7 linked regions of the Cricetulus griseus genome follow. The protein of the gene in region 5 purifies or fractionates together with the protein of the main gene of each other region. This does not show direct contact. Links are inferred from orthologs where the notes say so. Each region holds a gene or a part of one and is shown on either strand. Other genes may lie near its edges.

Evidence for each region.
Region 1: the proteins of Csnk2b (region 5) and Rnf111 purify together in Homo sapiens (co-immunoprecipitation; 3 studies listed by BioGRID and IntAct, with this or other methods). This does not show direct contact. The link is inferred for Cricetulus griseus from reciprocal best matches to the Homo sapiens genes CSNK2B and RNF111.
Region 2: the proteins of Csnk2b (region 5) and Cep170 purify together in Homo sapiens (affinity purification with mass spectrometry; 3 studies listed by BioGRID and IntAct, with this or other methods). This does not show direct contact. The link is inferred for Cricetulus griseus from reciprocal best matches to the Homo sapiens genes CSNK2B and CEP170.
Region 3: the proteins of Csnk2b (region 5) and Znf687 purify together in Homo sapiens (co-immunoprecipitation; 3 studies listed by BioGRID and IntAct, with this or other methods). This does not show direct contact. The link is inferred for Cricetulus griseus from reciprocal best matches to the Homo sapiens genes CSNK2B and ZNF687.
Region 4: the proteins of Csnk2b (region 5) and Ccnl1 purify together in Homo sapiens (co-immunoprecipitation; 3 studies listed by BioGRID and IntAct, with this or other methods). This does not show direct contact. The link is inferred for Cricetulus griseus from reciprocal best matches to the Homo sapiens genes CSNK2B and CCNL1.
Region 6: the proteins of Csnk2b (region 5) and Rps6ka4 purify together in Homo sapiens (affinity purification with mass spectrometry; 3 studies listed by BioGRID and IntAct, with this or other methods). This does not show direct contact. The link is inferred for Cricetulus griseus from reciprocal best matches to the Homo sapiens genes CSNK2B and RPS6KA4.
Region 7: the proteins of Csnk2b (region 5) and Gpatch2l purify together in Homo sapiens (co-immunoprecipitation; 3 studies listed by BioGRID and IntAct, with this or other methods). This does not show direct contact. The link is inferred for Cricetulus griseus from reciprocal best matches to the Homo sapiens genes CSNK2B and GPATCH2L.

Annotation. Positions count from the first base shown.
Region 1 is NC_048597.1:181,987,843-181,991,342, forward strand, and holds part of Rnf111 (E3 ubiquitin-protein ligase Arkadia), read right to left. Parts: intron 2,280-3,500; coding exon 1,931-2,279; intron 1-1,930. UniProt on the Homo sapiens protein: E3 ubiquitin-protein ligase. Required for mesoderm patterning during embryonic development. Acts as an enhancer of the transcriptional responses of the SMAD2/SMAD3 effectors, which are activated downstream of BMP.
Region 2 is NC_048598.1:17,059,910-17,062,244, reverse strand, and holds the end of Cep170 (centrosomal protein of 170 kDa), read right to left. Parts: coding exon 2,151-2,335; 3' UTR 501-2,150; downstream 1-500.
Region 3 is NW_023276806.1:61,493,693-61,496,972, reverse strand, and holds the end of Znf687 (zinc finger protein 687), read right to left. Parts: intron 3,258-3,280; coding exon 3,081-3,257; intron 2,968-3,080; coding exon 2,805-2,967; intron 2,644-2,804; coding exon 2,314-2,643; intron 2,235-2,313; coding exon 2,122-2,234; intron 1,934-2,121; coding exon 1,789-1,933; intron 1,677-1,788; coding exon 1,182-1,676; 3' UTR 501-1,181; downstream 1-500. UniProt on the Homo sapiens protein: May be involved in transcriptional regulation.
Region 4 is NW_023276806.1:86,983,830-86,987,971, reverse strand, and holds the start of Ccnl1 (cyclin-L1), read right to left. Parts: upstream 2,801-4,142; 5' UTR 2,702-2,800; coding exon 2,396-2,701; intron 2,183-2,395; coding exon 2,108-2,182; intron 1,506-2,107; coding exon 1,396-1,505; intron 1-1,395. UniProt on the Homo sapiens protein: Involved in pre-mRNA splicing. Functions in association with cyclin-dependent kinases (CDKs). Inhibited by the CDK-specific inhibitor CDKN1A/p21. May play a role in the regulation of RNA polymerase II (pol II).
Region 5 is NW_023276806.1:231,642,975-231,647,083, forward strand, and holds the start of Csnk2b (casein kinase II subunit beta), read right to left. Parts: upstream 2,801-4,109; 5' UTR 2,652-2,800; intron 2,099-2,651; 5' UTR 2,088-2,098; coding exon 2,016-2,087; intron 1,501-2,015; coding exon 1,398-1,500; intron 625-1,397; coding exon 509-624; intron 131-508; coding exon 55-130; intron 1-54. UniProt on the Homo sapiens protein: Regulatory subunit of casein kinase II/CK2.
Region 6 is NC_048596.1:52,599,328-52,602,827, forward strand, and holds part of Rps6ka4 (ribosomal protein S6 kinase alpha-4), read left to right. Parts: intron 1-22; coding exon 23-103; intron 104-175; coding exon 176-279; intron 280-382; coding exon 383-533; intron 534-3,500. UniProt on the Homo sapiens protein: Serine/threonine-protein kinase that is required for the mitogen or stress-induced phosphorylation of the transcription factors CREB1 and ATF1 and for the regulation of the transcription factor RELA, and that contributes to gene activation by histone phosphorylation and functions in the regulation of inflammatory genes.
Region 7 is NC_048598.1:117,541,193-117,544,692, forward strand, and holds part of Gpatch2l (G patch domain-containing protein 2-like), read right to left. Parts: intron 2,847-3,500; coding exon 2,779-2,846; intron 1,392-2,778; coding exon 1,352-1,391; intron 1-1,351.

The sequences.
Region 1 (3,500 bases), on a different chromosome or scaffold from region 5:
ATGTAGTAAGCTGACGGCCAGCCAAAGCTACACAATAAGATCCTGCCTCAAAAACAAAAAGAAATTCCACAAAAAAGGTAATTGTGGCTTGAAACTTCTGTAGGATATATTTTAATTTGGAGAACAGAATGAAAACAAAACTTTAAAAAGTTAAAAAGAAAAAGACATGTTCAAACTAGTTAGTTACTTCACATAAACTTACAAAGCAGGATAATGGAAATTTTTATTTTGCCAGTCATTAAAAAAATGCAAAGCAGGGCGGTGGTGGCAGAGGCAGGCAGATCTTTATGAGTTCAAGGCCAGCCTGGTCTTCAAACAGACAGTCTCCAAACCTACAGGAAAACCTTGTCTTGAAAAATCCAAAAAAAAAAAAAAAAATCATTTCAGTAGATAAGAATATGAGGGCTTTTGTTTTGTTTCCCCCTTGGAGACAAGTCGAGAACTGTTTGCAGGAATCTGTTTTCTCATTCCACATGTCCACATGTAGCCTTGGGGATTGAACTCAAGTTGTCAGGCTTGGCAGCAAGCATCTTTACCCACTGAGACATCTTGCTGGTTCCATAGACATTTTCTATATAGGCTAACTATTAAACATCAAGCCTGTAGTCATATGATTTCTGAAAAAATTAACCAGCTAAGTCTTTATCATGCCAAAAGATGTGAGACAATGTAAATGAAAAAATTAAGCTGTCTTCTAATAAAACTTTATTTACAGAAACTGACAATCAGATGATTAAAATATCAAATCCTGAATTGTCAAAAGAAAAAGTTTACTTAGTCTTATTATAAACATGGGGAAACTACACTATTAGAAGGTTAATAAGACTTTGTTAAGACTGGATCTCCACTGGGTGTTGGTGGCTCACACCTAAAGGCGTGATTAAAATCCCTGGTCTACAAGGACTAGTTCCAGGACAGCCTCAAAAGCCACTGAGAAACCCTGTCTCCAAAATAACAAAAAAAAAAAAAAAAAAAAAAAAAAAAAAAGTGTGTGTGTGTGTGTGTGTGTGTGTGTGTGAGAGAGAGAGAGAGAGAGAGAGAGAGAGAGAGAGAGAGAGAGAGAGAGAGAGAGTGTCTCATGTGGCCCAAGATGGTCTTGAATAGAATTCCGATCCTCTTCTACTTTTCACCTCCCAAGAATGACACCATGCCTGGTCCTTATGCAATGCATGCTAGGGAAGCACCCTACCCTCTATGCCAATTTTTAAGACTTTTTGTTTGTTGGTTTTTTGAAACAGGGTTTCCCTGGGTAGCCATAGCTGTCCTGGAACTTGCTCTGTAGATCAGGCTGGACTTGAACTCATAGAGATCCACTTGCCTCTGCTCCCAAGTGCTGGGATTAAAGGCATCTGTCCCCATTGCCTGACCAGTTTTAGAAACTTCTATTGCTATTCTTTCCTCTTGTAAATAACATGATAAATCAAATTAGATATTGGACATCTTTCAATCTTGTTCTTCAGGATCAATGTTGGTATCAATCATTACGGAGAAACAGTTATTTGCTTGAAGACACACTGTCAACAGCTACAATGCAGAGTAGGACACAATAAAGTTATTTAATGGTTGATAACTCTCCAGCTGGAGATAAAGCTCAGCCAGTAATAGAACACTTCTCTAACAGGTGCAAGGTGCCATGGATTCAATGCCCATCATCAAAACAACAAAAAGGTAATGTCCTACTACACTAAGGATTTACAATTGCACTGCTTTGTTTTCCTGTGTCCACAACCCCTACTAGGTGTAAAGGTGTACATCTGTTACCTTAGCACTGTGTGGCTGAGGAAGGTGGTTTATGAATTAAAGGACAATCTGGTCTGTACAGTGAAACCTTGTTTCAAAACATGAAAGATTTCATATATAAAAGACCAATTTCATATATAAAAGACCAATGGAACATGAAGGAAAGCAAGCACAATTTCCTTAAACCTACGTTGGGTGCTGCATCATCCTTCTCCTCTGAACTTCCATCCTCTGCATCACTTCATGAGGGTGCAGTCTCTGGGCAGGAGGTGCCGGGGCTGGGATATGGTGTGAAATTGGCTGGTGAGCTGGAGGAAGATGCTGTGGGATGGGTGCAGCTGTACTGCCTAAATGAGTTGGGGGCGGGGGCGCCACAGGGTGAGATGCTGCATGTGAAGATATCTGAGAATGGAAAGCATGTACAGGATGAGGAATAACATAATCCACTTGAGGGGGAGGCTGAGTCTGAGGAGCAGCAGTTCCATGAGAGTGAGGGCAACCCGAGGCTTGATGGTGCAGCGTTCTTGTCAAGGATGCATCTGCAAGAAAAGTGTTTTCTGTCAATACATATAAATATACTTCATTCACAGTGTTACAACCTAAAACAACCTATTATGAGACTGTACCAAAATTTCTGGAAAAGCACCCCAATAAAAACTGGTAAACGCGATGGGCCCTGGCTGAGCAGGGTAGGCCTATGTGTGTGTGTGGCATACACCTTTAATCTCAGCAAAGGAGGCAGACCAGGCAGATCTCTGAATGAGTTCAAGGCTAGCCTCATCTACAGACCAGACCAGGCTACAAAGACAGACCCTGTTAAAAAACAAAAATCACCAGGCATTGGTGGCGCATGCCTTTAATCCCAGCACTCGATTGGTGGCGCATGCCTTTAATCCCAGCACTCGGGAGGCAGAGGCAGGCGGATCTCTGTGAGTTTGAGGCCAGCCTGGTCTCCAGAGCAAGTGCCAGGATAGGCTCCAAAGCTACACAGAGAAACCCTGTCTCGAAAAAACAAACAAACAAAAAAGGAACAGTACACATTCTTAACCACCACTCCAGCAACCTAAATTTTTTGTTTGTTTTTCAAGACAGGGTTTCTTTGCATGGGCCTGGCTGTGCTAGAACTTGCTCTGCAGACCAGGCTAACCTCTAACTCAGAGATCCACCTGCCTCTGATCCCTGAGTGCTAGGATTAAAGATGTGCACCACCAACACCTGCCTTAAACTTTTTAAGTAAATGTGAAGGGCTGGAGAGATGGTTCAGTGGCTGAGACATTACCTTTCCAGCACTACATTCACAAGTTTTACAAAGTCAAAAAGTTCTGTTTTAGAATGGGTCCACTTAACTCTTCAGAAAGCATTCTATGCTGCCATATAGGCCACCTACTCTTTATTCCCATTCCTTTTCAGTTACTTTTAAAAATTGTTTTGGTTTGATTTCTCATCACAAGGTCTCACTAGGTAGCCCAGACTGCCCTCAAACCTTGCAAGTGTTGGGATTACAGGCATGTGCCACCATATCCAGCAGTTTTTGTTCTTTTTGAAGCAAAGTTTTGCTCTGAAGCCCAGGCTGACCTTAACCTCTCAATTACCCTGCCTCTAAACTCTAAGTACTGGTTTTTCCAGCATGAACCACCATATCCATCTTCTTTTGGAAGTTTATGGATGTTCTTACCAAGTTAGAAAAATCTGTTTAAATATATAGACGCTTATCAATTATACATAAAATAAAATTTACAATAATTCCTTTTGAAATTGCT
Region 2 (2,335 bases), on a different chromosome or scaffold from region 5:
CTTTGCTAGAGCATTAGGAAATTCTCTGTAAACAGTTGTTTGGTAAATTGATGAATGTACTGTCTATCAGATGGTAGAAGATATGAATTCTGTATCACTGCATAAAGTTCCAGAAACACTTTATTTAAAAATGGAGTTGTAAATGCATAACAAAATAACGTAATAAATGTAACAAAAATAAATAAGGAGAATGTATTCATACAAAATAAAAATAACATAGTAAAAGGCCAAATGTTTATAATTGAACAAAACTGTAAACAAACAATAATGTAAGCATACATTTTAATACTTTCTTAGATTCCTTCTCATGTACTTCCATATGGACAGACTCAGTACCAAACATTAACTAAAGGAGGGAACAATGGTTATTATTTTGCATAATTTTTCTTCAAATGGACCGACCCTGTTTATATGTTTTGTTTGTTTCTTCAAAGCATCTCACTCCCCTTATATTTTTTGGAACTCTTTTGAAGCCTTACTTCACAGAATTGTGGATTTAGCTTTACAAGGAGAACGGTTCCTTTTCTTCCTTTTTAATTTAAAGAAAAAAAAAATACAAGGAGATCCATTATACAGCAGACTTGCTTTTACATGTTTACAAAAAGATTTTGCAGTTTTATTAACTGATCCAACAGCACAGGATTTCTTAGATCCTGAAAAATCCTGAAGTATACATTTAACTTTCCCTTAAAACAAATGTAGCACAAGTTATTGCTAATATATCAAAGACCATATCATAAAAGTTGCAATTTACTCTTTATAGACTAATGGGGCCATTGAAGCAAATCCAGGCCTATTAATATTTAAAAGAATTAAGATTCACCCAAATTATAGTGTTCTGGAAACACAAAAAAATAATTCCTTTATTTAAAAACTTATTGAAATGTGAGCTTACTGGAAAGAAAACAAAACAGTAACAAAAACAAAGTTTAAAGAAGGTATTTTTCACAGGCTTTCTTTACAGTAGCTATTAGCCCAAAGCCTTAGTCGTCGTTGCTGTCTTGCAGGGTCCTTACAAATGTGTAAGACTGACACGGGGTTACTATGAACCTACAGGGAAACACAGAAGCAATTCAATGACTGGGAGTGGAACTATCAACTACTCTCACAATTACTGATTCTCCACATCTCCTAATGAAGAAAAATTAACCTCATGATCATTTCAGAGGGCTCCCCCTCCCCAACTGCCACATAAAAACTTGGTAACACAGGATAAATATACATGTTCTTAATTTTAAAAATATACTCCACCTAAACTATCTGTCAAGTTTGACCTTTCTAGTCATTTCATCTAAAAGGAGAGACAAAAATCTGATTTCCTTACAAAAGAAAATAAAAGAAAGAAAGGGAAGGAGGGAGAGAGGAAAGGAAGGAAAAAAGATAAAAGTGCCAAATGGACCTTTTTGAAAAGTGGAGTAAAACACTGTGGGGTTAAAACAAATACAGTATTGTTAACTTCCTATGTACAGAAAGACAAGTCAGTCCTTAATGATATATAGATATGTCCATCTATCACTCCCAGTAAATCTTAGTGCAAACATAATAGTTAATTTCCATAAACCCCAAGACAAGTTACTTAGCAACAGTTATAGAAATCACACTATGTTGGAAAAATCTTAGGAAACAGGATGATTGCTGTGGAGGGTTTGCTTTACTCTACAGAGCATGGTGTCACTGAGTCCACTGACAGTGAGTAATAATATAAACCCTATTATTAAGAAGCAAATTGAATGGTTTAACAATCTGTACAGCTGATGAGAAGTTCATCTCAGGAAGTAGCTTGGCACAGGAGACACAGGGGCTCAGAAATGTTGGCTATTTTAGTGTGTAGGTCACAGCATGGCTCAAAACAAACAAACACAAAGATCTATGAAGGGAAAGGATACAGTGATATGATTCAATTTGAAAACCATGAAACCACAAAAGGCAAAGCTGACACAATCTGCCTTTTGCTAAGTGTGCTTCAAGTGGTTGTTTGAGTGGTTTGAAAAGACTGGTATAACACATTAGAGGTGAAAATAAATAAATAAATCAAGGAGACAAAGATAACAAGATTGTTGCCGACCAAGCTCTCTTGTTTTGTACATCCACATCATGCTGCTTCCAATACCCCAAGTCACTCCACACATAATGTCTCTGACAAGGGAATGTCACTCATGCACTACAACGTCTTCCTCTTCCCCATCAGGGTTGAACCTGTTGAAATGGATACTGAAATCAGCCTCAGATTCAGCATTATCAAACTCAGCTGAGGCTGCAGCTGCTGCAGGGTCCAAAGCCCTGGTTTCTGGGGGGCAAAGTGCTGGTGTCTGACCAGGGCTGGTGTGGTTATTAA
Region 3 (3,280 bases), about 170 Mb from region 5:
GGACTCACTGCCCTCCAGAGGAGAGAGGTGATGAACGTGAGGATGGAGTCTCAGAGGTTCTACAAACTGTCTTGTTTCCTCTGGGTCCCAGCAAGATGAGAGGAAGAGTGGGCTCTTGGTACTTAGGATGTAATTCTATGTCTGACCATGCTGCTGCCCAACTCTAGCCCCACCCAGGGGCTGACCCCTAGCCCACATAACCCCTGGCAGGTGGGTTCTGCCATAGGGTCCTGCACTTGCTGAGGTTCCCCATCAAGGGGCTAAGGAAGGGAATTGCCACAATCCCTCTAATGTATTTGAGGGTATTGGCCTAGCCATGGGGAATTTCTTACCCTGACCCTTTCCTGACACCCAGGGAAATAGCTCTCAATTTTTTTATTTTTAATTTTTGTTTGAAATAAAGTCCTTAGTTAGCCATCTGTGTCTTGTCTGAGTTGCTTCTGGGGGTGGATGGAAGAAGAGGCTAAATCCAGCATACAAAAGGCACCAAACACACAAGATGAAGATTACTTTTCCATCTGTCTTGGTCAGTACTGCCTCTTCCCTGAGAAGGGCTTCCCCAGTTCTGACTCACCCCCTCCCTAGCAGTACACATTGTCCAACTCACATAAAAAGAAAAGCCTGAATGGGGATTAAACCACAAGCAGTTTTAATGGTCTGGTTTTCTCCCTCTTGTTTCTCTCACTGTTAGTATTATTACTACAAGAATAAAGGATTCCTGAGAGCCTGTCCTCTCCTCTTCCTGGACCCCATTTGACAGGACTCATCCCCACCAACCCCCCACCCCTAGATTTCTGGGGGAAAAGACAAATGGAAGGCACTGCAGGGATTGGGGCGGGGTGTTAGTGCCAATGAGTGTTAGAGGAGGGAATACTAGGCCAGAACCCAGCCCAGAGGAAGCAATCTAGCAGAGGGGTAGAAGCTAGACCCTGTACATCCTTAGGTCTCCCCTGTGTAACATTAGTGTTGGATTCAGAAAGGAAGGAGAACCCACTTAAGTAGGACCCAGGGACCAAACCCAAGAGGGAGTGGGGTGCAAGTCACTAGAATCCTCAAAAGCCTTTCCCTTGGGAGCAAAAAGAATCAAAATAAGTGTTAAACTTCCCAGCCCAGGGAGTTGACAGCAGCAGTGAAAGACCCAAGTTCCTGGGAAGAGAACTGGCTAATCCTAGGCCTGGGACCTAGTTGTCCCCACTGCCTCCCTGTCGGGCCCTGATGAATGCCATGCCATGCGTGCGGAAATGGGTCTTGAGATTCAGAGGGCTATCACAGCTCTTGCCACAGACCTTGCAAGTCAGAGGGCCTCCAGAAACAGGCAAAGGTGAATCTCCACCCTCTGGGTCAGAGCGTAACGGAGGAGCTTCTTCTTCCCCATCCGCCATCCCCAGAGCACTGGCTTTACCCCCCGCCCTTCTCTTCTTGTGGCTAATGAACCGGTGGCGGCTCAAGGAGCCAGGGGATGCAAAGCACAAGCCACAGTCGAGGCACTGCTGCGTGCCACCATCCACCCTCAGGCCCACCACAATGCTCTGTTCCACTGAGCCACTGCTCCTATATCGAAGAGGACCGTGGCCTCCTGACCCAGGGCCACCCCTCAGGGACTTGGCTGGTGGTGTTGTGCTGTCAGGCTCCTCACTGCATGAGTCAGAAGACTGGCGGCGTTTCCGTCCTGGCCCCTGGAGAAAAGTGAAAGAAACTGGGCCTCACCTTCAGCCTGGCTTCCTGAGCAACCAGAGGCTCACTGGTTTCTCGCTCCCACAACATAATGTAAGGAGAGCCTCTTCTTACCTGGGCTCTGCCACCAGAGCCTCGCACCAGAGTGCCTCCTCTGCCAGAAGGGGACTGGGTCCCAAGGGGCAAGCCATGCCGGACTTGGACATGCTTCTCCAGGATCAGACGACTACTGAAGGTGCGCTTTCCCTCTGTGCAATACCTAGCAGAGGTAAAGTGGGCAGGGTAGCACCAGAGGAAAAGACTAAGGCCGATAGCTCCTGAGAGAAGGAAGGCTGCCAGAGCAGAGGCAGGCCTCAACCTTTGGATCCCTCAAGCAGGAGGCAGGTGACAGGTACTCTGGGAGTAAGGGTCATCTCGCAGGTAGGAAGAGGAATGAGTCAGGGTTACCTGCATGGGTAAACTCTCTTGATTCCCTCATGGTTGACCCTCACATGGCGTCTCAGGCTGGGGGCAGAGCAGAAGGAACGCTCACACAGGCGACAGGGGAACTTTTTCACTGACTAGAGAGCAGAGAGTGGGAAATTTCAGTCACACAGGTCAACCCTCCAGCCTACCTTTCCCAGAGGAAGCCTAGCTCACCTTGCCATGTTCTTTCTTCATGTGAGCCACATAATCATCGCGCTCAGGAAACCAGGAATGACAAAGGCCACAGGTCCAGCCCCCAGGCCCCCCACCCCCACCTTTGATGCCTTTGCTTCCCAGGTCCCGTCGGGGTCGTTTGGTTGGGCGGGGAGGCTCAGGGGAGCTGGGCAGCTCCTCTTCGGAGGATGAGGAAGATTCCTCAGTAGCAGGGGCTGCCTCTGCCCGAGACACAGCCAGCTCCTCAGGCTCAGTCTTGGGGGTCAGAAGGGCACCTCCAGCCCCTTTCCCAACTGCCTCCTCCCCCAAGCGTCCGGACTGATGAGTGCTCTATAAGAGGAAGACAAGAGGAGTGGCTATGTGGAGGAAAGCCTGGCTTTGCCAAAGTCCTCACTTCCCTCTGCTCCCCCTGACAGAGGGTTATGTGACTCTAGTTCAGGTCAACACAGCTAGTTAAGGTCCTATTCCCTAGTCCTTTGCTCCTCCTGTACCTTGAGATGTTCCAGCATGGTCCTTTTTTGGGCAAAAAGCAGAGGACAAGATGGACACTTAAAGACGCTGACACGCTGGGGCAACAAGTGCTGGTCGAAGTGTGAAGAAAGGAGCGGTTTGTGAGTGAAAACTGTGTCACACATGGCACACTTATAGATCAGCCTGTGGAGGCAGAAGGGTCAGTGTAAACATCATGATAGGACAGCAAAGCCCTACCATGCACCCCACCCCCCCAGCCCACCCCTTCCTCTTCATGCTCCCTCCCCAGGTCTCACTTGGCTTGCTGGGTGAGGAAGCTGGGATGCTGGGAGTAGAGATGGGCATGGGCGCTGGGTGCAGACTTGAAGGCCATGGGGCAGATGGGGCACTTGTGGAAAACTTCGCAGTGTGACGCCTGTATGTGGGACTTGATGGAGTTTATACCCCCAAATACCACTGCACAGCTGGGGCACCTAGGAGAGGAAGTGGGAGGTAC
Region 4 (4,142 bases), about 140 Mb from region 5:
TCAGTCAGATTGAATTATTTTGAATTCTGAAGGTTTATAGCTAAGATGATCCTATTCTGACACCAAGGAAGGAGGAAAGTTAAGTCCCATAGGAAAATGCCAAGATGTGATTATAGTTGGCCCAATGACTCATATACTAGAAAATGTCCTTTTCAGAGTCCTTTAAAGAATTCTTTATTTTGAGTGTTTCATTAAAAAAACACCATGAAAAAACTCAGCCACATATCTAAATACAAATACAAGCTCAGAACATACTAAACACCAGTTGGAAATCTCCCCCTTCCTCTACTTTCTTCACGAAACACTTTCAAACAAAAGAAATTATATCTGGGAACACACTGAGAAAAGATGAGGCTGAAAAGTTATGGAGAAAAAAAGCTATTAAAAAATCAGCGCAGCAATTTTTGACGACTAAACTCACTTTAGTATCTGTCTATCTAGTTACTACCTTCACTGCCACCAACTTATAGATTCCACCAATAAAGACTATGTATGATACTCACTTGGACTAAGCAACATCCAGCTCCCAAAACAATTTGTCTTTTCATAGCTAACTCCTTTGAAACTCATCACAATTCCTCAGAAACTAATCTACACCATGAATATCCATCATCGTGTCCTAGAATCACCTGTAGAACAGGGTCCTGCAACAAACTTTGGTACTGCCATAAAGGCATAGATAGATAGGCCCACATAGTTACCAGATTATCACTACACTTCAAAGATACCGTTTCAGACTGGATTTTCTTACAAGATCAAGTAAACAGCCCTACCTGAAGGCAACTCAATCAATTGGTTATTTTTCTAACCCACTCACTGAGACTGTATCTGACCAAAACAGAATACCTGTTCAATCCCTTTGACTTCAAACTTCAAACTTTATCATCCTCCAGTCCTTTCAGATCCGGTATTATTCGATATATCGTAGTTCAATGTTGAGAAGTACTCTAACAAAAGCCAACCTCAAATGATGAAGAAACTGGGACTCCAAGCAGAATAACAACCTACACAGAACTTGGCCACAATATTAACTTGAACTACAGCACTTTCACATCCAGCCTTCGGTTTTCCAGAGAAGGGAGGGGAAAAATAACTTACAGAATACACTCCCACTTGAGCCAACCGTACTCCCTTTCTTGTCTAAGCCAAGGGACTGGCTTCACAGCACTGCTAGGATTGTCCACAAATGCAACTGCCTCTACAGTTAGATAGCTGGTTAATTGAGGGTTTTCTGAAAGTTTAAGTTTCAGTGTTTCTATGTGAATTTCAACACCTAATGTCAGTTTTCTTTTGCATCCATACTGACTCGAGAAAAAAAAAGATGTTTTGACTTGATGATTGGTGTACAACAGCAGTAAGTAGCAAGAAATAATATGTTCAATAGGCCAATCTTACCTTTTTCCTCTTAACTGGCGAAGGTGGTGGAATACATTAATCACATCTCTTATTCTTCTTGGTGCTTCTTCAATTTTTGATGCAAGATTAATACAGGCCATGGCAACAATCTGAAAGAACCCAGGAGGGGACAAAACTTATAACAAAAGTCAAACTGGAAACAACCCGGCCCAAAGTCTAACAAACTTATTATATATGTGTATATTTGGTTTTTCGATACAGGGTTTCTCTATGTAGCTTTGTAGACCAGGCTGGCCTCAAACTCCCAGATATTCGCCTGCCTCAGCCTCCCAAGTGCTGGGATTAAAGGCGTGGGTCACCACTGCTAGGCTTTAACGAACTTATTTTTAAAGAGAAACTATCTCTATAGGGTACAACGGGTCTTTTGGCGCGAGATGAAACCAAGGGCGACATTTTTAGAGCACGGGGCTTACCAGCTATATATGTTTTTATTACTCAACTGCTCTAATTTTGGACCCGAATCAAGCCAAGAGTTGTGCCTGGAAATGCAGCTCTTGATAACAGAGCACGTGGGCTCAGGATCCATTTTCTAGTTCTTGAAACACGTTCTAAGGGCCCCGTTTCCTTATGGGTAGGAACTAGGTACAAAGGCCTAGGCTAACCACTCCCTTTCTGGAAAAGCTGGTTACTACCCCTTCCTTCCCGCTTCCGGATGAAGCAATCCCTTTCTCGCCCGCCTCCGCCGACTTACCTCGAAACTGTGTTTGACGAAAGACTTGGAGTAGAAAAACCGATGGAACAACACCTGCCCCGTTGCCATCGCCACCTGCAGACAAGAGAGGAGAACGGAAGCGCCGGGGTCAGGCGGGCCCGCACCAGGCGCCGCCGCCATTTTGTGCGGCCGCTCTCTTCCCTTGCCGGCCCTGCCTCTCCCGCCCTCCCTTCCCCGCGCGCCGCCCGAGCTCCCGCCGCCGCCCGGCTCAGGCTCCCGAGAGAGCCGGCCTCGGAGGAGATGGCGGTCACCACCCGGGCCTCTCACCTGAGGCAACCGGAGGAGAATGCCGGCGGCCTGGATGAGCTCGCAGCCCAAGATGCGCAGGTCCGTCTCGCTGGGCAGGTCGAGGCCGTCCTGCATGGACGGGGTAGGCGAGAGCCTCTCCTCCGGAATCAGAGAGTGGTCGATGGTTAGCGACACCTCCGAGTACAGGCGGTCGCCGATCAAGATCCCTCCGGTCGTAGTCGTCGTCGTGGTCGTCGTGCCCGAGCTGGAGCCGCCCGCGCTCGGGGCGGCGGACGAAGCGGAGGCGGCGGCAGCGGTCGAGGTCGGGTGAGGCCCGGACGCCATAGTTCCCAGCGAGCTGCACGCACGGCCGACGCAGCCGGAACCCAAAGCGAGACTAACCAGCGTCCTCGGCGCGACGGATACTCCCGTGACTGCCGGCTTCCAGGCCGCTGCACGCAGTGTGCGCTTCCGCCCTGACGTAACCACGCCCCGCCCCGCCCCACCCGGCCCCACCCGGCCACGGCGCGCGCCAACTAGTTCCTCCAGGCTGCGGCCGGGAGGAGATGGGCGTGGAGGTCCGCAGGCGGCTCCAGGCTACGGGTTTGGTAATCTCTTTAGGCACCCGATAATCTGCAGTGTTGCCTGGTGGGTCGGCTCCGTAGACCCCTGCGCGCCCTGCGCCCTGCGCCCGGCCGGCGGCGTCAGCGGTGTGTAAAATGACTCTGAACTGGGCGGCTCGACAGTTTCAGAAATAAGGGAGGTGAAGCGCGCCGGGTTCCGGGAAGCGCCGAGCGCGCGTGGGTGTCGGGGTGTAGCCGTGGAAACGTGTGCTGGCCCTGACCTCACCTCGCCGGGTTTGTAGTAATCTGGAAAATCCCTGGCTCCAAAAATAGATGTAGGGTGAAGACAAATTACGCCGGCGACTTCATTACACCAGGGAGTCTAATCCCAAATGGTTCCCTTACATAGTGGTGGTGGTGGGGACAAGGTCTTGTTTATTACACTATGCGTTTGTCAATGTAAAAAACACAGCTCTCGGCCGGGCGGTGGTGGCGCACGCGGGGAGGCAGGGTCTGGCGGATCTCTGTGATTTCGAAGCCAGCCTGGTCTACAGAGCGAGTTCCAGGACAGGCTCCAAAGCCACAGAGAAACCCTCTCTCGAAAGACCAAAAAACAAACAACAACAAAAAAACACAGCTCTCTTCTTTCATGGAATTTGGAGTAACCTAAATTTGTGTTCTCCGGGCCATGGATCAAAAGGGCTCCAGGATAAACCATTTCTTTATTTCCTTTAGGATAAGACCTGTTTTTATGTTCACACTAAAAAGTCCAAGTGGCTGAGGCTGACCTTGGAACAGTTGATCTTCCTGCCTCCATCTTTATAGCCTCTTTGGCCGCCCAGTGGTCTTTTATTCCAGTTCAATCCTCTGAGATACTATCTAGAGAGAAAAAAAAAAAAAAAAACAAACAAACTTTGTCTTAGTACACAGCTTCAGAATTGTTACTTTGTTTTGTTACAGCTTAATTTCTTGACGAAAAGTGCCTTAACCTTGCGCTTGTAGAACAGGAGGTATTTAGATACATCTTACTATTTGTCAGTGCTGTTACCGAAGCAAGATTTGGGGAGAGGCAGGGGGGTCTTTGAGACAAGGTTTCTCTGTGTAGCCTTGGCTGCCCTGGAACTCAGTCTGTAGACCACGCTGGTTTGAACTCATAAGAGATTCACCTGCCTCTGCCTCCTGAGTGCTGGGATTAAAGGCGGGTAGCGCCACCCTCTGTAGAA
Region 5 (4,109 bases):
CCACATCAACCTGACTGGCAAGTAGTGCCCTCCTCTCCCCTCTCCAACACTCACCGATGGGAAGCATTGGCTGGTTCTCACAGTACACACGAGGACAGTAGCCAAAGTCTCCCTGCTGGTACTTTTCCAACTGAGGTGTGCAAAATGGAAGGGACTGGTGAGTACGTGTGCAGAGCACCTCACTTCCCCACCTCCCAGGCCTCCCACCTCTAACTAGAAGCCCTTCTTTGTCAAGACAGGTCCTCAAGCTTCCTTCTCAACTGCTTTCCTCAAGTTGGCAGGCTGCAGAACACAAGGGCCATTTGCTCTCTCTGTTCCCTATCCATGGCCTCATCTCCCTCCCTGAAAACAATACCTTCAGTAGGACCCTCAGTGAGGATTGGATTCTCAGCCCAGCTCTGGGCTTCTCCTCGTCTCCTCTGCTAGACTTCTTGACAGGTACGAAACATGCCTTCTGCCTCATGCACCTGTTTGTCTCACTGCCTCAGAAGCAGGAGCAGAGCCTCACCATTTGGGCGATGCCTCGGTTGGTGAGGATGTATCGGGCGTGGATCAACCCATAAAGCATCTCCGCTGCCTGTTCAATCAGGTCACTCTGGTTGGGGTTGTCTTCCAGCTCTTCATCTGAAAGGTGGGATGGCCACTTGTACCCCACCTTATCCCCAAGGTGGCCTCCTACAGTTTATCCAGCACCTGTTTCTGACACACCCTATCCATCACCCAGGCCATCAGCACTGCCCTCTCTCCACACCTCTCTAGTCTCTGCCAGCTTCTTCCCCTTCCCAACACATAAACATAATTGCAGAGGGTGGCACTCTAGACCAGCAGGAGGAAAGCAGCAGCACACAACACACCAGAAGACTGGCATTGTGAGAGACAGTGGAGTTACATTTGGAGAGCATGGAAACAAATGTTACCAGTCCCTGAAGGCAAGGGTCAGGTAGGGAATCAAAATAATGAAGAAGCCAGGCAGTGGTGTATGTGCCATACAAAACCCAGCACGTGGAGGCCAAGGCAGGAAGAGCAAGTGGTAAAGTCCAGTTTGGGTTATGAATGGAGAGGAGAGGTGGGGGAGAAAACACATAAACAAACAAACAAGCGAGCAAGAGACTCGGGAATAGACAGAAGAGCTAGAGAATCAAAAGGAAATTTAGAAATTCAAGAAGCGGTTGGGCAGTGGTGGCACATGCATTTAACACCAGCACTCGGGAGGTAGAGGCAGGTGAATCTCTGTGAGTTCAAGGCCAGAGAAACCCTTCTGGAAAAACCGAAAAAGAAAAGAGAAAAATTCAAGAAGCAAGCGAGCAGAGACCAGAATAAGAAGAAACCAAAGCACACACAAGTGCACATATCATGGACCCCACACGCAGCGACGGCCCTGGGGGCAGGCACGTTACCAGGCTCCAGGTCCAAGATCATGTCTAGAGCTTGCCGGTAGTGAGGCACTTGCTCATTGAGTCCAGTCAGATTAAACTTGTCCTGGATGTAGTCCTCATCCACCTACCGGGACAGGGGAGTCAAGAGGTTGAAACTAGTGTGGGAAGCCCCGTCTTTCACCTGGCCCAGGAGACAAACGACCGCATCGGCTCCCCTTGTTTCCTATTCTCACTTCTGCAGAGGTGTTCCGTCTCCCACAGAAACCGCAGCTCTCTTCTTTCCGGGCCAACAAGGTACAGCGCATTATTCAACTTGTCTCCCTCCTCTAAAGGACCCGGGTTTGCTCTCTGCTCTGGGACATCAGACTCTCACAGGCATTGATCATTTCCTACGTTACCACACTGTGGTTTTCATGTTACATGAAACATTTTAACTTTCCTGACGGTCACCAGCGATACCTCTGTTAGCCATGCACAGAGTGAACCCCAGCGCTCAGGAGACTGAGGCACTAGGATTGCCAGGAGTTCAAGGACAGTCTGGGCTACACAGTCAGCTTCGGGGGAAATCTCATCTCAGACAACATACAACGAAAACACCGAGGGCACGTGGAGAGGGCCCAGAAAGCCAGCTAAACTCACCTCACAGAAGAACTCATTACCACGGAGCCCACAGAACCAGGAAATCCAGGAAACCTCCTCAGAGCTACTCATCTTTACGTCGGCTGAGGAAGAAGGGCGTTAAGTGGAGACCAGGCTGTTTCTTGGTCTCTTCCCTCCTCCCACACACACGGTCTCCTCAACGGCGGAGGAATCCGAGGCCACTGGCGTTGAGTGGCCCCGGCCCGTGAAGCACCGCTCTCCACGCCTCTCTTCTTTACCTCAGCCCCCCGACAGCGTGGTGAGAACCAGCTCCACTCCTTCCCAGGGGGTGACAGGTCCCGATCTGTGGGTGTTGCCCGGCGCGAGGCCAGGCCCCGGCCCCCCGGCCCCCCGGCCCCCGGCCGCGCGCGGCCCGCGCGGCCCCACCGAGGCACTCGCCTGGCGCCCGTCCCGAGGCTTCCCGAGTCCATCCTCCCCCCCGAGCCCGCCTCTCGGGGCCTCGCGGCGCCGGCGGGAGCCCCGCACCCCCGCGGGACCCACGAGCGTCCCCACAGCCGCTCCTCTCCTCAGGCCACCCGGCCTCCTTCGGCCGCCGACCCGGTCCCTTCCTTCCTCGCCCCCACATCTCGGAGCGCGGAGCCCGGCGCCGCGGCGCGGGGACGAGCGCAGACTCACCGGCCGGACGGGGACTGGGACTGGGGCGGGGAAGGGGAGCCGAGCTTCGAAGGAACCGCAGCGACCGCTACAGCGCAGGAAGCCGAGCGGACCGCGGCAGGCGAAGTGGGGAGGGGGGAAGGGGAACTGGGGAGGGTGGGGAGGGAGAGAGGGCAACGCGCAGGCGCCGAGGACCGCCCCTGCCCCTAGGGACGCCGGGAAATGGAGTCCCGTAGAGAGGCAGAAAGTGACGCGATGCGGGGACGGCGAACCACCAATCCCAAGAGTCCGCGCGCATGACTCCGGGGTCGCGAGGCCCTAGCGGAAGCCGCCTGGGGGCGGGGCGAGCCGAGCCTCCACCGGAAGCGGAAGCCAGGTTACAGCCGCCTTCCCGACCGGGAAGCCTGGGAAATATAGTCCTACGCGCTTTGGGCTCGGCAGGCTGCGAGCCGGCGCCGGCGGCCGCTGAGGTCCCCGCTGCGCGCCCGCTCCGTCCCGCTCCGGTCGTCCCTGCCGCCCCGGGGACTGACACCGTCGCCGAGGACCAGGCATGCGGCCCGGAGGTGCGGCTCGGAGTGCGGGGCTGAGGTCGCAGGGCTTGGGCTGCCGAGCCGGGCGGCGGGGGCGGGGGACCTGCTGCACCGCCCCGCGCGCTAACCTGAGGTGGCGCCTGCCATTCTGCCGCTCATCCCTTTGCACTTCTCCATGTGTTGCTGCTGCTTGCTGCTGCTGCTGCTGTTGCTGCTGCTGCTGCTGCTGCGGACCCCACGTGAGCTGCTTGCTCTTCGAGCCCTGCTCGGAGTAGCGGTGAGGGGCGCCGTGGTGTTAGCGCGTCTCGCGGCTGCCCGGCATCCCGCGGCTCCCTGGCGTCCTCAGGCCTCCCGGCTCCACAAGAGGGGCTTGGAGCGGGAGGGACCACGTCGAGGGTGGCGAAGAGCATTGTGGGGGCGTTATGTAAAAGTAGGACCCCAACCGACAGGTCCCCCTGGGCCCTCGCGCTGTCTGGGCACGCGATGCCTGACGCGGATGCTTGGGAAGGTTCCAGCGCGGGAAACTGAACCTTGTGGGTGTTTTGTTGTGGTTGGCTGCTGCGCATGCGTCTCTGTGCCAGGTGGGTGTCGGATTGTGTCAACTCTTGCAGATGACGAGAGCGCCATTTTTCGGTACGGAAGTGACAGTGCAACGCTTTTACCCCGACACCTTCTGGAATGATGTCACGCCTGTTTTTCTTTGGGAAAAGGAGACACCCCCCCCCAGCCCCACGTAAGATCGAGCAAGATTTAAAAGTCCCGGCCGATATTCCCTAACGGTATGTGTTACAGGGTGGGAAAAGGTTTTCAGAGACAGCCTGCTGTTTTTGTTTGAAGGGAGAAGGGAGTAGAACGCAGGGCCCCTAGACAAGTGCCTGGGGGAACATTCTTTCCTATTATCATTTTTTTTTTCTTTCCTGTTGTAGAGATAGAACCCAGACCTCCCAAA
Region 6 (3,500 bases), on a different chromosome or scaffold from region 5:
ATGGGTCCTCTCTGCTTCTCAGAAAGAGCGGACCTTCTCCTTCTGTGGCACAATCGAGTACATGGCCCCCGAAATCATCCGAAGCAAGGCTGGACACGGCAAGGTGGGTTATCTGGGTGAAGAAGGCAGGGTAAGGCTGAGCACACAAGGCCTTCACTCTGGCCTTACCCCATAGGCTGTGGACTGGTGGAGCCTGGGCATCCTGCTCTTCGAGCTGCTGACAGGGGCCTCGCCCTTCACATTGGAGGGAGAGAGGAACACTCAGGCCGAGGTGTCTCGGTAAGTTGTTCAGGTCATGGAGGGCAGCTGAGGGCTATACGGCCTGCCTGGGCTGGGCTGGGAGGGGGCTTGCTGCCCCTGACACCCCCACCCATCCTCCCAGACGGATCTTGAAGTGCTCCCCTCCCTTCCCCCTCCGGATTGGGCCTGTGGCACAGGACCTGCTACAGCGGCTGCTGTGCAAAGACCCTAAGAAGAGGTTGGGCGCGGGTCCCCAGGGTGCGCAGGAAGTCAAGAATCACCCCTTTTTCCAGGTGAGGCTTTTAACCTATGACCTCCTCTCATTTGCTACACCTCTGTAGGCTGGGCTGCAGCATGGTTAGCGCAGATGTATCCATGCTTTTCTGATGTTACACACAATAAGGGGTCAAAGAGCAGAATGTGGAGACCCCGCTGTCCTCAGACTACTCTCACCAGGCAGCTCTCTGAGAATACAGGAACTGGCATGGAGCCTTCACATTAGACCTCACTGCATGGCTTTTCCTAACTGACGCCTTCTTCTATTTACACATAGGCATTTGATTTGGCACCTGTCTGATATGGCAACAAGAACATCCATTTATGGCCAGGCACTCTGCCTCCATATTGGAATCCCAGCCTAGGAGGGCCTCCTGGGTTGCTCTCAGACCAGAGTCTTCCTCTCCCAGACCCTAGGCAGAGGTGTGAGCAAGAGTAGAGCTCAAGATGCAGATGAGCAGGGTCCACTTCCTTCAGGGAGTTTCTGGGACAGCCCAAGCTTTGACTGGGTGCTGGGAGAGCACTCACTTGTCACTCTGCAGAAGCCCCAAGGTATTTGAGGCATGGCACTTCCTTCTGCCCTTTCTTTGGAAAGCTCTTTAGAGGCTACTGCACAGACACACACACACACACACACACACACACACACACACACACACACGTATATATGTGCACGTACAGTGGGTAGGTGTATAATGGGGAGAAGCTCCTCACGTGAAAGAAGTCTGGACTGGGTTGTCTTTGGAAATCCAAGCTTTTTTTTTTTTTTTCTGATTTGTTTCTCCATTCTTAGCATGTGACATCCATCCCCAGGGTTGCTTTGTGGCTCCAAAGGGCTCTTGCTACCTAGACTGCTTCCCAGGCAAGAAGCAGGAGGAAGAAGGGCAGGGAGGGCATTTGTCAGCTGCTTACACCTTCCCTTCTAGGTGCTTCTCTGGGCTCCCCCTGACAGCTGCTGGCTATTGGACACAATCATCTATAAGGAAGTGCTTGTATGATGGTGTTATGTTAGGATTATGGTGCTAAAGAAAAAAAGACAGGAAAAATGGATGCTGGGTAGAGATTAGTTAACTATGTTACATTAGTCTAAACATATATAAAAGGGCAGGCGCTCTCTCCCAGAAGTGAAAAATCTGAAGGAAAGTGTTTCTTCATTCAGGAATATTTGTTTATTTATCTTCATTTGTCTGTGTACTATGTGTGTGCAGTGTCTGTGGAAAGCAGAAGGCATCAGATTGGAATTACGAAGCATGTGGATGCTGGGAATGGAAGCGTCCACATGGGTCCTCTGGAAGAGCAGCAGCCAGGGCTCTTATCCACTGAGCCGTCTCTCCAGGCCCAGCTCCTTTGTGTTTTGATGTCATGGCCATTACAAGTTCAGGAACTGACAGTTGTGCCAAGTGGAGGCCTGTAAGGAGAAAGGGGAGGAGGTAGGCTGGGAGGCTGCCTACTTCAGGGTCAGAGCCTTTGCTCTTGGGGAGCTGCCCAGTGAGGGTAGGTGCAGGAAAGTGGGGTCTCTACGTCCCGGCCTCTTACTGATTATTGTGTGCTATGTCAGAAATAGATGGGCTTCTTTGCACTTCTCCATAATGTCAGAATTAATATGAGTAACAGTAAACTCATAAGCTGCATCAGTTTGATTGTCTGATAATCCAGTTTCATTTGATAACTGGCTGTTGGCAGTCAAGTTTTTTTTTTTCTTTCTTTTTTGTTTTTTCGAGACAGGGTTTCTCTGTGTAGTCCTGGCTATCCTAGAACTCGATTTGTAGACCAGGTTGGCTTCGAACTCAGAGATCTGTCTGCCTCTGCCTTTTGAGTGCTGGCATTAAAACCTCATATCCATAGGTTCTTTTATTCTAATCTTTTTGAAAAACTTAATTTTGTGTAGTGGTGGAAGGAAGGAAGAGCCAGAAAAGGCATTTGCCACCAAGGCTGACAACCTGAACTCACTTCATGGGACACACATAGTGGAAGGAGAGAACCCGACAAGTTGTCCTCTGGCCTCCACATGCATGTCCTGGCTTTTGGTTTATTGAGACAAGGTCTCTCTGTGTAGCCCAGGCTGTCCTGGAACTGGCTCTGTAGACCAGCCTGGCCTCGAACTCACAGAGATCCGCCTGCCTCTGCCTCCCAAGTGCTGGGATTAAAGGCGTGTGCTACCATGCCTGACGCAAGTGCCTTTATTTATGAAGCCATCTCACCTCCCCTTTATTCCCATCTTAATTATGAATATCAACTCTTTAATTACTGGTCCACATGCCACACGATATACAAAAATGTTAAGAAAGGGTTTTTATTTATTTATTTATTTATTATGTGTACAACATTCTGCTTCCGTGTATATCTGCACATCAGAAGAGGGCACCAGATCTCATAACTGATGGTTGTGGCCACCATGTGGTTGCTGGGAATTGAACTCAGGACCTCTGGAAGAGCAGTCAGTGCTCTTAACCTCTGAGCCATCTCTCCAGCCCCAAGAAAGGGTTAAAGAGGCGAACTGCTGAGGTTGTCCTGAAGGCATAGAGCAGATGCAGGGCCAGGTAACAGGCTGTTTATGGGCTCAGTCTGAAGTAGGCTGAATGTCACTGAAGGAGAGGCTGTGTGGGAGCCTGGGTCAGAGGCAGGAGTCCTCTGCTGACAATTCTCCTGGATGAGGTTGTTGCCTGTGACCCAGTGACTAGGTAGCAGGCCAGCCACATTTTGGTCTTGGGATTCTTCTTTTCATAGTCCCAGGTGAGGGACTTCCTTTTTATGTGATATGTTCATGTGACTGGTTTTTCTGATATCACACCAGGGTCTCGAACTATCTGTGTAGCTGAGGATGACCTTGTATTTCTGATCCTCCTGCCTCCATCTCCCTGGTCCTGGGATTACAGGTGTGCCCAGTTTATGCATTCTGAGGATTGGACCTAGGGCTTTGAGCACATCTAGGGAAGCACTCTATCGTGAGCTATGCCCTGGCACACGGATTGGTGTATTTCCAG
Region 7 (3,500 bases), on a different chromosome or scaffold from region 5:
TTAAAAGAACAGAAACTTAGCTAATACACATAGCTCAGCAACTTCAGGAAAATAGTTAAAACCCATGATGCGTTGTTCCTCACTTGTACATAGCAGAAGTAGCGCAAAAGATGGCCATAAATCCTGCCTTTGCATGCTCTGAAGCAAATACAATCCACACTCTAGCTTAACAGTTCCCAAATCTCTCGCATGCGACCTTCATGACCCTTTCTTTATCTGCCAACTATATGAACTGTTCATCCAGAATTTTCTTTACACCAATTACTTACACTCAGTTTTGTCCTATTTCCACCAGGTAAGTCTGACATAGTAATTACATTTTTCTAACATACATTATAATATATAACTTCAAATACGTAATCTAAAATCATCTCATAAACACACACTGGTTTTATCTTCCACTGTTCTAATTATTGTGAAACAGCAACTTCCCAGTGAACTTTGCAAATATAAACTGTGTAACATAATAAAATGCTAAGTAGTCCCCAAAATAAACAACCAGTCAACCATGGAGCAAAAGGAAGCCTGAGAAGGTTTGCCCATCAGTCTCTATGAACTTCACAGCTCAGAACTAAGGTTAGGCAACCCTTACCTCTAAACTGAAAGAATTTCAAACATCTATAAACCTAACAACAACCACTGTGAGTTACTTTTAAATCATGGATCCTCCTCAAAGCCAAAATGTATTAAGGCATCCCTAAAGGGGAGTCAAGGAAAAGATTAAGAGAAAAAAGCTCCAAAGTCTTGATCATTTCCCCAAAAGGAGCTCAGCCTTCTGCCTCCTATGCTCAGACAGTCACAGCACAGGATTCGAATGGCAAACTAACCCAGAGACATGAGACTCACTTTACATTTTTAATCAATTGAAACAATAAGACAATGGGTTCAATGGTTAAGAGCAAATACTGCTCTTCCAGACGACTCAAGTTCAGTTCTCATCAGCATGTCAGGCAGCTCCCAAATGTCTGTATCCCCAGCTCCAGCACATATGATACCCTATGGCCTCTGCAGGCATCTGAGCTCACATGCACCTATGTACATGGACACATAAGTAAAAATAAACCTTAGGGGGGAAAAGCTAAAATAAAACCAGGCTTCCCTTGAAATGTGTTACAAATAAGAAGCTGACAACTGCAGCTGAACCTAAGGAGGGAATTGGCTACAGTTCTTTCAGATGAGCACAGAGCAGTCTTGGAACTCAGCTCTCAAAAAAGTCAAGAGTGATGGAGAGTGATCTTAGTCACCTCATGTGCACAAGCAAAAATGTGAGGAAAATCAGAAGCCAATGTTTTATTCTTTCTAAAGAAAAGGAAACTGAATGATAAAAGATGACCCCCCAAAATTATCTTACCTGCTTTCGTTCTCTTTTCCCAGCTGATGGTAAGCAGAAACTGAAGAGAGAATAACAGGAAAGAAAACAATAAAAGAAGTGATAGGAAAAGTAAGAGGGAAGACGATCACAGGTGGGATACTGAGTGAAGACAAAGAAGGAACTGGGAGCGATGCAGCTGAAGGAGAAGGACGCCAGCTGTGTGTGAACAACAGTCTCCCTGAAGTAACTGCAGTGGAGAAGGCAAAAGTGGAAAGCAGAAAACTAGACAAGGAAGAGCCAACTAAGACACAGCCTTATCTCAGCTGTGCATCGAGAAAAGGACTCAAACTCCAAAATCAGACTAGGTTTATGTATAGGACTGCTCTTGGGTACTGACCATAATGATTAAGGAATAAACTATACAATTTCTTTAGCATATACAAATGTGGGCTGCTTTTTTTTTTTTAACATACATAGTTGATATGTATGCATGTATGTGTGTGAATGGAGGAATGTAAGGTCACAGGTACACACGTGTGTGGAGGTCAGAGGTCATTGTGATGTCTTCCAAGCTCACTCTCCACTTCATTTATTGAGGCAAGGTCTCTCACTGAACCTAGAGCTCCCTGCTGGTCAGCTTGCCCTGGGATCTACTTGTCAAGGGCTGATATTACAGGCAGGCCTACCATACCACCTGCTTCTTTATGTGGGTGCTGGGGATCCAAACTCTAATCCTTATGCTTGATCCACTGAACCATCTCCCTAGTCCCAATATATATGTATTTATTCAGCAGATATTCAAATTTTAGCCATGGAAGACCCATAAGAAGACAAAGCACACAGCAAAGCCAACTGTTTAGGAAATGAAGCTGTTATGAGAAAGGCAGCTCCATTCATGATTCCTACTGCATTCACCATGGTAACAGGGACAAAAAGATTTCTCCTTAAAGAGGCCTGAAGGAGAACAGAAGCATTTGGAACAACCATTTTAAAAAAATTAAGAGAGAAAAATGCATTTAAAATATAGTCTCTTAGTGGTGGATATTAATATAACACCTAGAAACATAACAGGCAACAACAACAACAAAAAACTACTCTAGAAAGAAAAAGAAAAATCACTGTCATGATTTAAGACTTTAGCCATCTTAAAATTTTACTTTTTTATTATTGTGTATGTCATAGCATACTTGTGAGGGTCAGAGGACAACTCTATGGAGTTGGTTCTTTCCTTCTGGCTCTGGGATTAAACTCTGGTCATCAAACATGCAACAACAGGTGGCAAGCACTTTTAGCCATGAGCCATCTTGCCAGCCTGATTTTACCCATCTTAACTGTTAGCAAGCACCAATCTCTAAAATGCCCTCTTTCGGTTCTCAAGTCTAATAGAAAGATTGCTTTATAGAAACCCTCTCTACCTCCTTCTCCAAGGACCAGGCTAGGACAGCAGTAGGCACTTAGGTACTTACTCTTTCTGCCGGGGGTCACTGATGATATGGCTTATCCTCTCGGTTCCTAGACTGCTTATGCTGGTTTCCTAAAAAGATAAGAAAAAGAGTGTCATCAAACCACAGAAGCAAATATATACAATTTAAGCTGTTACCAAGCTAAATTTTTCTCTAACCATACCAAGCAATCTTAAGGTTGTATCAATCTTAAAATCCAACAGCAACTATTTTTTTTTTAATAGGAGTACATCTTAGAAGTATCATCTATTACCTAGCTATTCTCTGCTGACTTAAAAGGCTTTTAAAAAGCCGTTATAAATACTGTTTGTTGGGCTTGGGATATTTTTCTATTCTAAATTTAGTTTTGTATAAGTGTGTGTGCGCAGGTACACGTGTGTGGGCACTCATAAGTGTGTGCATGAGTAGAAGCCAGAAGACTATCTCAGGTGTCATTCTTCAGGCACTGTCCACATTTTTTGAGACAGAGTCTCTCCTGGCCTGAGCTTAGCTATCTTCCTCCTCCCCAGCGCTGGAATTACAAGCATGCCATTGCACCCGAGGTGTTTCTCCCATATTGTTCTGGGGAACAATCTCAAGTCCTCCACAAGCACTTTGCCAACTTGAGCAATAAACTCCAGCTCTGTTTATTTTTTAATTGACACATAAGTGAAATATAAAACTAATACCAAATACTGTTTCTTTTTCTTTTTAAAGATTTTATTTATTTATTATGTATACAACAT